Linked DNA regions of Rhinolophus ferrumequinum. The protein of the gene in region 2 binds, or shares a complex with, the protein of the main gene of each other region. Links are inferred from orthologs where the notes say so. Each region holds a gene or a part of one and is shown on either strand. Other genes may lie near its edges.

Region 1 (3,745 bases), on a different chromosome or scaffold from region 2:
GAACTAGAAACCTATTAACACAGGGATATACAGTCCCCCTAGCCCTAGGAAGAAAGTCTAATACTATTTGGATTACGCCAACTCTCACACCAATAAACTTAAAAATATGTGTCTTGTATGTTCTCCCAAGACCTTTGCCTGGTGAAACAGTTTTGTCCATCTCCATAAGTCCAGAAAAAGTACACTAAAACTTTAGCTCAGACTACCCCTAATTCATTTGTAATAGTTAATACGCAATATACTCATTTCTAACATGCAATAAAATTTTTAAGATTGAGTGGTCTCCTCTGAAAGTGTTGTCTTTAAAAGCAATCCAATATTAATTCTTTTTCCAATAATCAGGGCTCCAAAAATTAAGGGTTTATTCAGTTATCCATTAGCTTCATATAACGTTGCAATCATCTAATAAAAGACTTCAGGATACATTGCAGGTATATTCACTTAAGTCACTCATTTCACTTGGGAGTACAAGTGGCATTTTCGTGAACTTTCCTGTAACAAAGCTCAGCCCTTTATACTTCAGATTTTTCCCTGACTCACAGGTTTCCAACCTTCAGTCAAAGTTCCTGATAACCCACGTCAGGGAAAGAACTGAAGCCTGGAGCTCTGAGAGCTCCTCCCACGGGTAAACGGGGTGGGGTGCTTTTCCAAAGCCAGAAGCACCCGAGATTCCCCACACACACCCCCACCTTTCCGGGAATCTACCCTCCGACCATTCGTGATCGCTGCTATCGCTGTCAGGGAAAGCCTGGTGGGGATGGTGCAGGTGTCCCCGGCTGCTGAGACCCGCCGCCAGCTGACTTACATCCTCTGCGGTGGCGGCCTCAGATCATCCCAGTTCAGCCCTGCCCCGCTCCCGGAGGTACGATGAAATTAGAAAACTTGCTAAAGGAAAAATAGCCAGCCCACCCAACAGAAGGACTGGCCCACGTGCGCGGCAGCGGCAAGCAATCGCCAGGTGAGAAGGCGGAAGTGGCCCTTCCTCCTCCACCCAGACCTGTTGGCCCGGTAGGTGTCCTGAGGATCGCACACCCACGAGTGTGCGTGCACCCCCCCCACACACACACACACCTCTGCATAGAGGCGAGCACAAGGCATTGTCCAAGGTGCCCCGGCCACAGCCAAGACAGGCAGGCAGGAAAGGCGTGGGAACATCCAAAACTGAAGAATGGGTTGGAGGTGGGCACGTGCTTTAAATGCCCCGACCCCTCTCACCCCCAGCGCCAGGTTGAAACTCGAGGGTACCTCGGCTGCGGCTGCGCACCAGTGGGCGTAGGGGGAAGCGGTGACTGGTCCCTAACTTTAACCATAGCAACTGCCGCGGAAGCGGGGCGTCTCCACTTTTCTGTCCCCGACTGAGGACGGAGCCCCATACATCCATTCTAACCTTGCAGGCACCCTGGAAATCCACACTCCACACCACCCGCACCCCCGCCAGGTTACTCCAACCCCCTCCCCACAGTAACTGAAGCCCTCCCGGTACCCATCCAGAGGGGTCACCTCCGAGTGCCCCTCCCTGTCAAACTATGAATGCGCTTCCCTGGGATCTCCAGCGATCCCATGGCTTACGTCCCTCCACACCTCCAGCCGCTGCACCCCTCACACCTCGTTGGGACCCCTTCTCTCTCCACCCCCAAGTGCAGGAACATCCCCTCCAAGTTCAGGGTTTCCCCTCATTGACCTCGGGAGAAAAGGAAGGCTTACAAGCCTTAGTGGGTCGACCTTGGGAGCTCACGCTGAAGAGCACCTGGGGTAGGGTCCGTGACTGAGATGGGCGCCACCGCAGGGGGCTGTCCCCACGCAGCGGGTTCCGAGCTGGCCCCCGCGGTCGGTTCGGGGAATTCAGCCCGAGCCGAGCCGGAGTCGGGGCGAGAAAAGCGATGACCGAGTGTCGGGGAGGAAACCAGAGCCCTAGCCAGGGACAGAGCCGCGGCCGGTCAGTGCCAGGCGCTCCCCGAACAGCCAAACTTTCTCCTCCACCCCGAAGTTAGGGGCGCCGAAGAGATGGTGAAGGGGAGCTTAAGAGGCATCTCAGGTGCCCCCCGGCTCCTGGAGCAGCAGGAGAAGGCGCCCGGGAGGGCCTCGGTGGCCTGGCGCGCACCGCCCCCGCCCCACGCAGCCCTCACCTGTGCCCGCCCGGCCGCGGCGCGCGGCCCGCACTCACCTGGCTGTAGAGCTCGCTGACCGACATGACCCCGCGGGCAGGGCCGAGCCCGGGGCGCCGTGCCTGCAGACTGCCCTCGCTCGTGCCCCGGCGGCGGCAGGTCCCGGCTCCTCGCTGCCCCGGTGGCTCTCAGTCCACGGCCAGCCCGCCTGGCGCCATCTTCCTGGGCTGGCCGAGAGTTTGTGTGTTTCTCGTCCCTTTCCCCCGACCTGTCCCGCCGGCTTCCTGGAGGCGCCGCGACCGGCTCGCTCCCTGCCGGCGCGACCTTTACTCCCGCGGCAGCGGCGTCGCTGCGGCCGGGCCGGAGTTGCGGGCGGGCGGGGGAGGAGGCCGCGCGGCGCCGCTCCCGGCTCAGGTATGGGAGGAGGTGCCGGCGCCGGGCGGCGGAGGGAGGGAGGATAGCGGGCGTCAGAGCGGGCGGCGGGTGTGTGCCGCCGCGCCTTTGCGCCCAACGGGGCCGGGCTGGACGCGCCCTCCCGCGTCCCCGCCGCCGCGGGGTCCTCCGGCCTGGGGGCGGGGCGGGCGAGGAGCGGGCGGCGGCCGCCCCCTGCTGGACGCCGCGCGCACGCGGGACAGGTGCGCGCCGGCTGCCGCACCTGCCGCGCCACGCTCCGGGTCCACGCGGGCTGTGCCTCGGGGGGTTGTGCCGGGGATGGAGGACGGACAAGTACGCAAGAGGAAAGTAACCAGAGAGGCGAAGAGGAATAAAAGGAGGGATGTCTACGGCGGAAAGGCTCCATACACTGTCCTCTGTGTTTTACGAGGCTGTAGCCAATACTTTCATTATTTAAATTCAGTTATGTCGTAGATTGTTATGAGGTGACGGGGCTATGCCAAAGATTGTCTCCGCCAAGATGGGCTCCCTGCGCTGAAATCTTAATCAGAAAGGTGGGAGTCGCAACTCTTCTCCACTTTGTTTGCCCGTCCCCGCCTCCCCCAGCTGCCAAGTAGGCACCCGCCACCATCTGGGAGGATTGTTGGCTTCTCTGGGAAGTGTCACGTTTTCTCCCCTCGCACACTCTCAGTCCCTCTGCTACTACCTACCTCATCTATTTTTGTCCCCTCTGCCAGTGGCATGTGGCTACCTGCAGCAGCTTCAGTCCCTCTTCTACTTCCAGCAAAAAGTAGACATTTCAGCCAAAAAAAGAAAATAATTGGCAGGAGTAGGTGGAGGGAGAGCAGAAGCTGTAGGAGGCGATGGGACCTTGGTTTTCTGAAGGTGACATTTGTACCTGAATGAGGAATGGCCTCTGAAGGTGGTTCCCAACCAAAGCGTCCATCTACACCAGCTGGAACAGTTGTCCTGGAGTCCTGCCCTGGAAGGGTTTTTAAACTCATCCTATTTAAGGGCTTCCCACCTGGCGTGCAAGATCCCCTTTTAATTCACGTGTCTGGCCCTTCTTACCTGTGCCTCCTCCATGAGAATTATCACCTGGGGAGCTTTAATAGCTCTAAGAAAGGCCCCCCTCAAGAATTCTGGTATATTGGCCAAGACTGGGACCTCAATACCTGAATTGTTTTAAGTTCTTCTGTAATTCTAAAGAATTGTCCTTTCAGGATTGACAAATGCAGTAACGAAAG
Region 2 (3,745 bases):
CATTATTACCATTTATAGAGTATTCACAGAAGTTTAAAATTTTACAGCCAGTCTCATTTCATTCTCACAACAGTCCTGAGAGGTATGTCTTGTTTTCTTTTCATAGATGAGGGAACTGAGGCTCAAGAAAGTTAACTTTCTCAAGGTTACCAAGCAAATTTAAGACCTGAGTCAGGATTTGAATCCACGCCTGTGTGATTCCAAAGCCCTGTGCTCTCAATCATTGTTAGATAGTCTAAGCCCAAAATTAAGTTAAAATTCCTTAAGCCAATCCAGCATAACATTACTAGTGAAAAAATAAATGGCTTCTATAAGCAATATTTAAGCTCCCAACCAAACAGGAGAAATACTGATAGTCTCTTGTTCTAAATTAATTATTTCAAAGGCAGCTAGCGGCCCACTGCCACTGTACCTAAATAAAAAAAAAAAAAAAAAAAATTCTCCCTTTAATGGCTGAACCCCAGTCTCCAGGGTCTCACTTAAGTAACTTCACCAGACCTCAGATGACTTCAGCAAACAGTATGTAAACTAATGCACGTTTCTTTTTTGTATTTGTAAAATGCATTAAGTACCCTCTTCTCTGTAAATGACTTTCTCCCGGGGAAAGGGAGGATACTGAAGGTACTCACAACATATAATAGAATTTTCTGGCCCAGAGGAGTAAGTGGTGATAAGAATATGTCATCAGCTAGGTTGTCAAGATTTGCAAAGTATTGGTAAAGCAAAGAAATGTTACCGCCTTCGTTTAGTCATTCTGAGCACCCAATGGCAAAGTCAGAAACTGTCACCATGCTTAACACTCTTTTTAAACTCCACCCTCCACTGTAAAGCTTTAAAGCAATGGCTTCTTCCTCCCTGGTAATGATCTTTGTTCAGTACACCACTGATGGCTGCCCTCCTAATTCAGTAAGCAAAGAAAGAGCATCAGAGTGAGGGCGCATTCACCGAACAAAAAAGCTTTTAGTGTACTTTTTCTCAGGGAAAACTGTACCCCTTTATCTGTTGATTAAAAAAAACCAAAAACCACAAAAAACTATTTGGATTCTTTCCGGACTGCCCAATAAGCAATTCTTTCTATCCATTCCCCACCCTCTAACAGGTTTTACTCAAGGGCACTACGATTCTCTCTCATAAGAAACATTTGATTTCACCAAAGAGCACACAACCCCCGCCCCCAAACACACACACACCTTTTGAGAAAGGTATGGATCCAATTAGGACTCTTCCCTTCTGGTTCTACAAACACTAAAAGGCTGGACCCTCCCAGTATTGCTGCAGGAAGCAATCAGTCCAGAATGATAAAACGAGCTCGTATTTGTGCAGCGCACAGCCTTTCCTGCTCAGGAACTGGGCCTTCAGGTCTGGCAAGGATAACAGCCACCACCCATCCGCAACCCCTTCCCGCGAGCAGAGTCAGGAGTTACCCCGGGCCGGTGGCGCCGGGTAGGGAGGGTAGGAGAAAAAAAGGTTAGGAGGGAAATCACATCACTCTGCCGGGTCACTGCGACAAGTGCGTGCGTGGGTCACTGACAATCCCTCTGGCCCTACTCCCCACCCGTGGGGTCGCACGGGAGATGTGGGAGAGCTCTAAACTACTTGGGGAGGGAAGGCAGAGAAAGAGCTACCAATCCCCGGGACAGAACTGTGGGACGGGTGGGGGCCCCTGGCCCGCTCAGATTTTCACGAGGGCCTAGCCCCGGGGTGGAAGAAGATGGCCAGGAGAGCCGCGGGTCCGAGGGGACGGGGGGAGATAAGACCTGTAGTGGGAGTCTGCGCCGAAGGCAAGATGAGGAGCCAAGGAAGGGCTGGTCAGAGCGGTTCAGGAAGGGGAGTGAGTCCAGCAGGGTGGACACTGAGGGGGAGGGGGCGCCAAATCGGAATGATACATGGTGGGAGGGGTGACCCCTTTGAAGCGGCCCTAGAATCCCGGAAAGGAAGACGATGTGGGAGATGGGAGCCAGCCGAGAGAAGGACACACGGTGAGGGGCTATGAGGCCAGCGAAGGCCTTTGGGGAGGTCCCTCAAAGATCGGTGTGTGGCGGCGACTCCCTGTCTGAGGGGAGGAAAAGGGGCTGAGCCGCGAGACCGCGGAACAAACTGCACCGAGAGGGAAGGGCTAAGGAAGGCCGATTTCACACGGGGGTAGCCCCCGCGCGGGTCTCCCGGGAGTGTCTCGGGCCCCCGAACAAGACTCGGTGGAGAGGAGGGGAGCCCATGACCTCACCTTTGAAGAGGTAGTCGTACTCGTCGTCGCGGGTGCCCATTGCGCGGCCGAGGAGCGAAGGGGCGGGAGCAGCAGTGGTATCGGTGGGACTAGGGGGCGTCGCTGCAGGGGTAACCCGAGCGCGGATCTTCAGCTGCCTGACCGGGTGAAGAACCCCTCCCTGCTGCTACGCCACTTCCGGCGGGCCCCAGCCCCTTAGGGGAAGTGCTTCCGGGGGTGGGGGTGCCCTGCCCCTGAGCCTGCGAAGGGCGGTGTGCGCGGAAACGGCGTCCGTTTTCAAATTCTTACCTCCTCCCAAAGGTTCAGAGGACAATCTGAGGCTTTGCACTCCAAGCTGATCATAGTCCTAACAGCAGCTCACCACACTCTTGGTGGCCTCTCCCTCATTCCTCCGGCCGCCATCCCGGGGCTCTGAGGAGAGCGTCAACCCCGGCTCCAAATGGTCGGTTTGTGAATGGGGGCGGGGTTCACTAAGAATTAGAGAGCCCAAGGCGGCCCGCACACGTGTGGTGGTTCCATGGTGTAATGGTTAGCACTCTGGACTCTGAATCCAGCGATCCGAGTTCAAATCTCGGTGGAACCTATACCCTTCTCTTTTTTTCTCCCTGGCCAACGTTTTTCATTTTTCTGCTTAGTTGCTAAGTGATTGTTATACAACTATGGTATATATCGCCTTGAACTCAGCGGAGAGGGAATTTCACAAAATTTAACCTTTGCCTAGGAAGACCTCACAAATTTCCCCCTTCAATTCTGTACTTTCTGTTACCTGGGTGTCTCCTAAGGAGCCTCTTCACTTCTCCCCTTTTTTAACCTGGGTCCTCTGCCTCAAACCTAATTGAAAAGCTTCGATTAAACTTGATTCCTTTTGCTAGAATTTTCAACCTCCGATATCATGCAAGGGCAGGCGCTTTTCACTCACTCCTGTTCTCGGAAATCTCCAGATGCCATTCAGATAATTTCGCCCACCCGCCTCATCAAGATTCATCAAGAACTTCTTAAACCCCATTTGTCAACCTCTAAAGCAAACTCGTTTACATAATTATTTCATTTAACACGCAGAGCAAAGGATGGCAATTTTCATTTTAGCGGAAATGTGGATACTGAGACAAGTGATTTGCCCAAGATCATAGCAGCAGGGCCTCCCTGGATTTAAAGAGAGTTTTATTCCAAAAAGTTTTTCCTATTGCTTTGCCACACCCCCATCTCCTATATGCATACCTCAATTTACACTTGAGCAGGGGTGCCTGTTACAAGCAGAATGATGGCTCCCTAAAGATGTCCACTTCCCAATCCCTGGAAACTGTGACTATGTTCAGTTACATGGCAAATGGAAATTAATGTTGCAAATCAACTGATTTTAAAATAGGGAGATTATGCTGATTCTCCAGGTGGGCCTAATGTTGTCATAAGTGTCCTTAAAAGTGGAAAAGGGAGGCAGAGGAGGTCAGAGTGATGGCAGTGTGAAGGGACTTCTAAAAAAGAACATAAACAGAGTTCATGTTCAAAATGGTGTCCAAGCTG

Evidence for each region.
Region 1: the proteins of RAB11A (region 2) and MYO5B are in contact, whole or in part, in a crystal structure (PDB 4LX0), measured with the Homo sapiens proteins. The link is inferred for Rhinolophus ferrumequinum from reciprocal best matches to the Homo sapiens genes RAB11A and MYO5B. Residues at the interface, in NP_004654.1 of Homo sapiens: Leu11, Lys13, Arg33, Glu35, Ile44, Gly45, Val46, Glu47, Phe48, Ala49, Thr50, Gln63, Trp65, Glu71, Arg72, Tyr73, Arg74, Ala75, Ile76, Thr77, Ala79, Tyr80, Arg82, Gly83; in NP_001073936.1 of Homo sapiens: Ile1627, Gln1628, Gly1629, Leu1630, Trp1706, Met1710, Arg1713, Tyr1714, Ser1717, Gln1718, Glu1721, Arg1724, Gln1745, Leu1747, Gln1748, Leu1749, Lys1750, Lys1751, Glu1755, Ala1759, Leu1763, Tyr1779, Glu1786.

Annotation. Positions count from the first base shown.
Region 1 is NC_046302.1:41,029,906-41,033,650, forward strand, and holds the start of MYO5B (unconventional myosin-Vb), read right to left. Parts: upstream 2,515-3,745; 5' UTR 2,192-2,514; coding exon 2,165-2,191; intron 1-2,164. UniProt on the Homo sapiens protein: May be involved in vesicular trafficking via its association with the CART complex. The CART complex is necessary for efficient transferrin receptor recycling but not for EGFR degradation.
Region 2 is NC_046289.1:45,041,598-45,045,342, forward strand, and holds the start of RAB11A (ras-related protein Rab-11A), read right to left. Parts: upstream 2,417-3,745; 5' UTR 2,265-2,416; coding exon 2,225-2,264; intron 1-2,224. UniProt on the Homo sapiens protein: The small GTPases Rab are key regulators of intracellular membrane trafficking, from the formation of transport vesicles to their fusion with membranes.